Linked DNA regions of Arabidopsis thaliana. The protein of the gene in region 2 interacts with the protein of the main gene of each other region in a pairwise test. Each region holds a gene or a part of one and is shown on either strand. Other genes may lie near its edges. The genes, in order: WRKY26 and AT1G78410.

Region 1 (4,027 bases), on a different chromosome or scaffold from region 2:
TTTCTCGTTTTTCTCCCAATTTTGGTTTAGTCTGTGTCTATGTCTCTTCTGTTTAGTTATATCTGGTCATGGATATTCAATTATGGGCGTTTTGGTTAGTTTCTTAGGACAATGGCGACTCTAGTTTTCTCGTTTCATGCCGTAGACCGTACCTGTAAATGTTTCAGACTGCGATGTTGTATTTTTCTTGACAATTGAGCTTCTGGGTAGTGTACTTTTGACTAGGCTCTGTCAAATGTGATAACTTTTTATTGATTGAATCGTCTGTTGTTTTGACCTTTTATATATCAAATGTGATTATGCAGGCAAGAGGATTGAAGAAGCATCTAAAGAGGCTCAATGCTCCTAAGCATTGGATGCTTGACAAACTTGGTGGTGCCTTCGTAAGTTGTTTGTCTCATCAATCTTGTGTTTTTAAGACAATTCATTACATTTGTTCTGTAATGTTGATGTGTTTGTATCGATCATTTTTATGCTGTTTCTTGTTGTAGGCTCCCAAACCATCTTCTGGACCTCACAAGTCGAGGGAGTGTCTTCCTCTTGTCCTGATCATCAGGAACAGGTTGAAGTATGCTTTGACTTACCGTGAAGTTATCTCTATCTTGATGCAAAGGCATATCCAAGTTGATGGCAAAGTCAGGACTGACAAGACTTACCCTGCTGGTTTCATGGGTATGTCTTTTTTTTTTTCCAGTTATGTCTGCCCTTTTTGTCGTATGTATTTGATCACTGAACTAAATTGCATTATGGTTTGAATAGATGTTGTATCCATCCCCAAGACCAATGAGAACTTCCGTCTTCTCTACGACACCAAGGGACGTTTCCGTCTCCACTCCATCAAGGATGAGGAAGCAAAGGTTTGTTGCACTCTCTTCTTAGATCTTGACTGGAATTAGAACTAGTGATTGGAATTAGAAGATTGATTAGTCTTTTTCTGCTTGAATGTGCAGTTCAAGCTTTGCAAGGTTAGATCTATCCAGTTTGGTCAGAAGGGAATTCCATACCTGAACACTTATGATGGTCGCACCATCCGTTACCCTGACCCGCTCATCAAGCCAAATGACACCATCAAGCTGGACCTTGAGGAGAACAAGATTGTTGAGTTCATCAAGTTTGACGTGGGTAACGTTGTGATGGTGACTGGAGGCAGAAACAGAGGGCGTGTGGGTGTGATTAAGAACCGTGAAAAGCATAAGGGAAGCTTTGAGACAATCCACATTCAAGACTCAACAGGGCATGAGTTTGCCACAAGGTTGGGGAATGTGTACACAATCGGCAAAGGAACAAAGCCATGGGTGTCTCTTCCAAAGGGCAAAGGTATTAAGCTGACCATCATTGAGGAAGCCAGGAAGAGACTTGCTTCCCAGCAAGCTGCTTGAAAGTCCAACTGCTTTGAATCATCAAGACCCGTTTCTTTTACAGACTCGCTGCTTGTCTCAGTTTGTGAGTCTATTTCTTTTCTTATGTTGTTGGATTTCAAAACCCATCAAAAAATAGCTGAGTAGTGCTTTTTGTAATGTTTGTATGGTGGATTTTTTGGTGATTTACCGTTTAAATCAGATGACAGTTGGTCCACTCCTTTGCTTAGTCTTCTCCTTTGCTTTGCGCTATTAGTTGTTGAGAGATGAGTAATAGATATTATTTTCTTGGCATTAAGTAATCTAGAAGAAGACCTCAAGGACTCCTGAAAGTGATGTGAATTCAGCCGCCTTACACAAAAAAGTCAAACATTTTGGTGTTTTGAATACACACGCTTCACACTTGGTCACAAGCTTATCTTTTATAATTGCTTGCTTTTCCTTGGAAACATCCTTTCCTTCTATCCAACTCGTAATTTAATATAGGAAGAAGAAGAAGAAGAAGAGTACCTCATACGTAAACCATTGATGGGCTCTTTTGATCGCCAAAGAGCTGTTCCGAAATTCAAAACAGCAACACCGTCACCGCTCCCTCTTTCTCCTTCGCCTTACTTCACTATGCCTCCTGGCCTTACTCCCGCCGACTTTCTCGACTCTCCTCTTCTCTTCACTTCCTCCAACGTATCTATCTATCTCCTCCAACGTTTCAAACTATGATTGTTTGTCCTTATCTTGGAATATTGAAAGAATTCAAGGTTCTTGATTTGTCCATTTCCCTTCTTCTTCTCTCATATCATCTTCTTCTTTGATCTTGAAATCACAGATTTTGCCGTCTCCTACGACAGGCACATTTCCAGCGCAATCTCTGAACTATAACAATAACGGTTTGCTCATTGACAAAAATGAAATCAAATATGAAGACACAACTCCTCCCTTGTTCCTACCATCTGTAGGATCCATTTTTGCATTTTTAGCTTCTGCTTTATTATCTCTTAAGACATTCTAGTTTTAAACTATCTCATTTTCAGATGGTAACTCAGCCTTTACCTCAACTGGATTTATTCAAATCCGAAATCATGTCGAGTAACAAAACCTCTGATGACGGCTACAATTGGCGCAAATACGGGCAGAAGCAAGTCAAAGGAAGCGAAAACCCGAGGAGTTACTTCAAATGCACGTATCCAAATTGTCTCACAAAGAAGAAAGTAGAGACGTCTCTTGTGAAGGGTCAGATGATTGAGATTGTCTATAAAGGAAGCCACAATCATCCCAAGCCCCAATCCACGAAGCGATCATCTTCCACCGCTATAGCAGCACATCAGAACAGCAGTAATGGAGACGGTAAAGACATTGGTGAAGATGAAACAGAGGCCAAGAGATGGTAATTAGCAGACTCATAATTAAGTAACTGAAACCAAAAGGATGAGGAGACAATGAGATGTCTGATTGGATTTGTTGTGAATGGCTTATAAATGCAGGAAAAGAGAAGAGAATGTGAAGGAGCCAAGAGTGGTGGTTCAGACAACAAGTGATATAGACATTCTTGACGATGGCTACAGATGGAGAAAGTATGGTCAGAAAGTCGTCAAGGGTAATCCAAATCCAAGGTGTGGTTTTATTTTTCTCTTGTCAATTCTGAATGAAAAGGAGGCTTGAAGCTTGAGCTATAAGTTAGTTAAATTTGTGATGTGCAGGAGCTATTACAAGTGCACATTTACAGGATGTTTTGTAAGGAAACACGTTGAAAGAGCATTTCAAGATCCCAAGTCAGTGATCACAACTTACGAAGGAAAACACAAACACCAAATCCCGACCCCAAGAAGAGGTCCAGTTTTAAGGTTACTTGGAAAAACAGAGACATAAAGAGCAAATGAGTTTTGGCATTTCAGCATTCCTATTGTAATCTTTCATTCATATATAGTATGTTTCCTTAATCATGCGCCTATACACACATAACTGATCAGGACTAGGCAGAGGCTAAAGTTCCAAGCTTCTCCATCATTTTGCCCCCTATGTTCACTACCGACGATAAATCTTTATTCAACTGTTTCAAGATATTAAATCAAACATACATCACACCAAGTGTTTGACATGATGATGATGGAATGGAATGGATGGTGGCAAATGATGTGATAAACACACAAAGGCATACACATAAATGTATATTACTACAAAGAGCGGAATATTTTTATGTTTCTTTAAAAAGAAAGAAAGACGCAAAAGCACATGTGATAGTAGCCGACAGTTTGAAGTAAAGCCAGCAAATCGTGAAAGCCATTTACTTTTAGATCTCTCTCTGCACTCTCTGACTTTGTCCGCAAAGTAGATCTGCTGCAATGGCTTCTCCTCTTCTCCCAACTTCGACTACTCCTGATCAACTTCCCGGCGGCGATCCACAGTTGCTGAGCTCTCTACGCGTCCTCTTGTCCCGCGTTCTAGCCACCGTCCGTCACGCTTCTGCAGATGCCAGACCCTGGGCAGAGCTCGTTGACCGGTCAGCGTTTTCCCGGCCACCATCGCTCTCGGAGGCAACGTCACGAGTAAGGAAGAACTTTTCCTATTTCCGAGCCAATTACATAACCTTAGTGGCAATCTTACTCGCCGCGTCTCTGCTCACGCACCCTTTCGCTCTCTTCCTCCTCGCATCGCTGGCCGCTTCTTGGCTTTTC
Region 2 (4,050 bases):
CGATGGAGTAAGAGACGAGCCAAAGAATCCAACTCTTTGCTTCTTTCTTCCTCTCCACGCGCTTCTTTCTTCGCGTGTGTTTTTCATTTTCGTGTAAAACGACGTCGTTACGTTTATTTATGTTTTTTTTTGTTTGTTGACCAAAAAAGGATTAGAATATACGAAATCTTGTGAAGGCGGTTTTGTCTTAAGCACCGAGTTGGATCAGAATAATGTCTTTTTTAACATTTTATTCTTTAATTGTATCTTTGTTTGTCGCATTTGCATAATTGTATAGTCCAATATTCGTAATTTACCATCAAATTTATTAATGGAAAAAAATAAAGAAGTTAGTATCTTTGGTGTGTTACGAGACTCATTATGTGTTCAAAGTTTTGGTGATATTTCATAAACTAGATTAGTCGGCGTTAATGTTATATTTAATTGAATTTAAAAATGGTTCTTGTTGACGACAATATAGCTTAGTAGGTTCTACTTCTATTAGCTAATAATTTTTAATAGACTTGTATTGTATGTTGACGTATAATGTTTCGGATAATCGTTGAATCAACCCAACTATATACCAGAAAAAACCCTGAAAATAACTACCAGAAAGCTAGATTAAGAAAGAACGTTAAATAAAACAAGAATTGTAGATGAGACGATTAAAATCGTGAGTGTGTTTTGGGTTGATGAAAGGAAATGGTTCACCCAACACAAAATTGGTTAAGGTTGGTTAGAGAAGGTTAACCATGAGTTTTGTTGCTATTTGCCTCAGCCATTTACGCACTTACACAAAAACCTGTTTTATATATAAACACAAGAAGATTAGTTCATATAATGCTTCATTTGGTTGTTGTGAACTGTATCGCATGTTGGATTCTAAAAATTGTGAAATAGTCACAAGAATTAAACAGTTTTTAGTGAAATTACTAATTTTAGTGAAATCAAAATTCTTTTAGTTAAAAACATTATTTTGCAAGAAAAGAAAAACATGAAATATAAATATATAAAAAATATGGAAAAAAAAGTAATACCTAGTTGGACTTGGGTAGCAAAGACGCCCCATAGAGAAAAGCCCATAGTTGAGGCCTGACTTCTTAATCTGCTAGTCGCTTTCAATGCCTTTGTCACACACTCACACTTCTTGTTTTGATAATTGGTTCTAAAACCCAAATACACAGAAAATAAGAGAACCAAGTATTAATCTCGCATATACTTGGGCTTCATGGTCCTTTTAAACAACATATGAAAGCTATAATAAGCCCGTTTAAAATTCGGAGACATGGGCCGTACTGAAAGGTAACTCATAATTACTTTCCAAAACACAACATTCGTTATTGGACCTAATCTCAAGAGTGACGATCCAGTTAAGATGATTAAATCAAATCAACAACAACATTATCTCATTAGATAAAAAAGAAAAGATTTTGGAAGAAAACGAATGATTTAAAAATCATTGCACAGAAATTATTAATGACTCAATATTCTGACCATAGTTTATACAATTCTTCCATGTGAGGCATCTCTTTGAATAATCTATCGAACTCCGTCGTCGTCCCCATTCGTCCTCCTCCGCCGCCACCGCCGTGGAGCTGTCTGGTATCTTCACCGATTTTACTACCGCCATCGTAACAACGGCCGTCGAAAGCAGAGGGCGAATCAAAAGGACCGGCGGCGACGATGGCGTTCTTACCGGTGAGTTCTTGAACAACGGTCTTGAAGCTACGAGCATCTGTCTCAACATACTGTGTGTTAATGAACACAACCTTCATCGGCTCCGATTTCACTTTCCCTCTTCCAGACATTATTACTAAATTAATCGATTAGAGAAACAAGAAAAGAAAATTTTGTGGTGTTGATGATTAGGTTGATCAAATGATCTTAGTACTTAGTATATATCAGCTTTAGCTCTCTTCCTGTGTCTTTGGGTGTTCAGATGTTTTGTAGATTTATATGCATAGTTGCATACTTAGGTATTTATAGAGAGATTAAAGAGAGAAAGATATAATCTCTGTGGGGTACTGAAGTGACTCATTCAAGTAAATTTTTTCGTATTCTTTTTGAAACGATTTTATAATCGTAATCTTGTCCTACATGAAAACATATGTGACGACCTATTTTTTTCTTGTTTTTTTTCTTCCTGACGTCATGATACATTTTCGACGACCAACGTTTTTTATCATATTCGTTGAATTCCTAATAAATATTTTCCTAATTATTATATTGGCCGAAAATATTTACGGCTCTAGTCTAGAAATGCTTACCAATGAATTTTATGAATGAAGAATTTTTTTGACTAATTAAAGACTTTTTATACATCTGTTGATGAAACAATTACTGCATTCTGTATATTCTTTAGAATTTAACAGCAACGGTAAACTTAAAACAATTTTGAAACTGCAAGAAAATAACTTAATAGTAATTATTTAAAATCAAAGATTAACTACATATAATTATTTTTATAACCTATTGTTGAGAATATTAAACAAGGTAACTATTTGTTATACAAAGCAACAATCATTCAACATTTACTGAGATCAATCGAAAAGCACATGGCTTTGTGCATAGATAGGACCTTTGATCATTAAGACATGTTGACCGTTAATAAAATCTAGCAGCCTTGAAGGACCAAACATTAAAATTTATATATCACTATCACCATCAAAAGTATTAAAATTACCAAAAATCATAGTGTATTTTCATTAGATTGGGTCAAAGCACGCCTTCTTTGATGAAATCCTGTTACATCACGTGAAACAGCCTAAGAAAAAACTACTGAAAACTTACCAAGTATTTACACGTGAGTAGAATTTTGCACGTCCCCCCACACTATTTCGTTATGACAAAATATAATCGTCTTTGATTATGCTTCTAGAAAATAGTAAGGTGATGTCATTTTTTTCTTCAAAAGGTGATGTCTTTTTTTTCCATCGACAAAGAAAACACTAATGGCTTTAGTTTATTTTTTCAAGATAAAAATTTCTAATCAAAACATCCCAAATGGGGCTTTTAGTTAATAACCATGTTTTCCCTTTTTCCACAGCCAACAGCATATGAAAATTTTATACGGTTTAAAACATAAAAAATAGGAGGTAACATATACTCACATCATTGTAAGGTAAATTTTAAATGTTTGCATCTTGAATTATATTGATATATAGATTTTATTTTATTTTAAATATTGATATAAATGAGTAATGGATCATATTTTTGTAGATTTTACTATTTAAAAGAGATTAGAAAAAAAAAAAAAAAAAAGAGATTAGAAGTTCAGCATGATGCACAAGAAGTCACTGATAGTTACATACGATGTTTCATGGGGAGTTTCATAAAGGGACCCAATCATTCATTCAATTCCCTGAATTTTTGTTTTGTTGACTCAGACTTTCACTAACAAAATTCTTCTCAGAAATTGCAAATTAGTTCATTGTACGGTTGTACTTTTGCGATAGCCCTAATTATTTTCAGTTGTTACCAACCACACAAAAATTATATTGGCTTTACCAAAATTTTCATATGAAGAATAAAATTATATATGGATCAGTTTAAGCCTTAAGGTAAATACAAATCAATCCGTTATCATTTATCACTACACTACAACTTTTAGAAGTTGATACGTAATTATGTATAGTCTATTTTTTGTTTGTTGATAAAATTTGGTGCAGTACGTTATTGTACGTACAGTTTTGATATCAATATTAATAGACTGATGAACATACAAAGGGAAAGTCAAGTTTGGCTATAACGGATCAGAGTAAGGTTTTGACTACAAATCTTGACTCAGGAACCTGACTGTTTTTTATTTGATCGCCTTTGAAATTAAGTATATACAAAGTTTGAACAGATTAGTTATTTTATCTCAGCTTTTACCGCCGGTAATATATAGTTAACTATTTCGACTGGGGTAAGTTATGTCCATTTGAGTTTCAGCATTTTGGAATTTAACTTTGAATGAATATAAGTAAGTAATTAACTATTGTTCTGTTTTTATAGCAGATAAAAATTCACCGAAGATCAATTTCTTTTTTTTAAACAATCCGTAATATTTTACTTTACAAAATTAAATTC

The links.
Region 1: the proteins of AT1G78410 (region 2) and WRKY26 interact in a two-hybrid assay, tested with the Arabidopsis thaliana proteins (one study listed by BioGRID).

The regions. Positions count from the first base shown.
Region 1 is NC_003076.8:2,202,427-2,206,453, forward strand, and holds WRKY26 (WRKY DNA-binding protein 26), read left to right. Parts: upstream 1-1,821; 5' UTR 1,822-1,886; coding exon 1,887-2,039; exon of another isoform or gene 2,040-2,181; coding exon 2,182-2,307; exon of another isoform or gene 2,308-2,386; coding exon 2,387-2,739; intron 2,740-2,836; coding exon 2,837-2,965; intron 2,966-3,052; coding exon 3,053-3,221; 3' UTR 3,222-3,385; downstream 3,386-4,027. Other genes in the region: AT5G07090 (Ribosomal protein S4 (RPS4A) family protein), read left to right, coding at 306-383, 492-672, 760-857, 951-1,379; PRA1.B6 (prenylated RAB acceptor 1.B6), read left to right, coding at 3,695-4,027. UniProt on the Arabidopsis thaliana protein: Transcription factor. Interacts specifically with the W box (5'-(T)TGAC[CT]-3'), a frequently occurring elicitor-responsive cis-acting element.
Region 2 is NC_003070.9:29,500,465-29,504,514, reverse strand, and holds AT1G78410 (VQ motif-containing protein), read right to left. Parts: upstream 1,934-4,050; 5' UTR 1,788-1,933; coding exon 1,461-1,787; 3' UTR 1,017-1,460; intron 782-1,016; 3' UTR 577-781; downstream 1-576. UniProt on the Arabidopsis thaliana protein: May modulate WRKY transcription factor activities.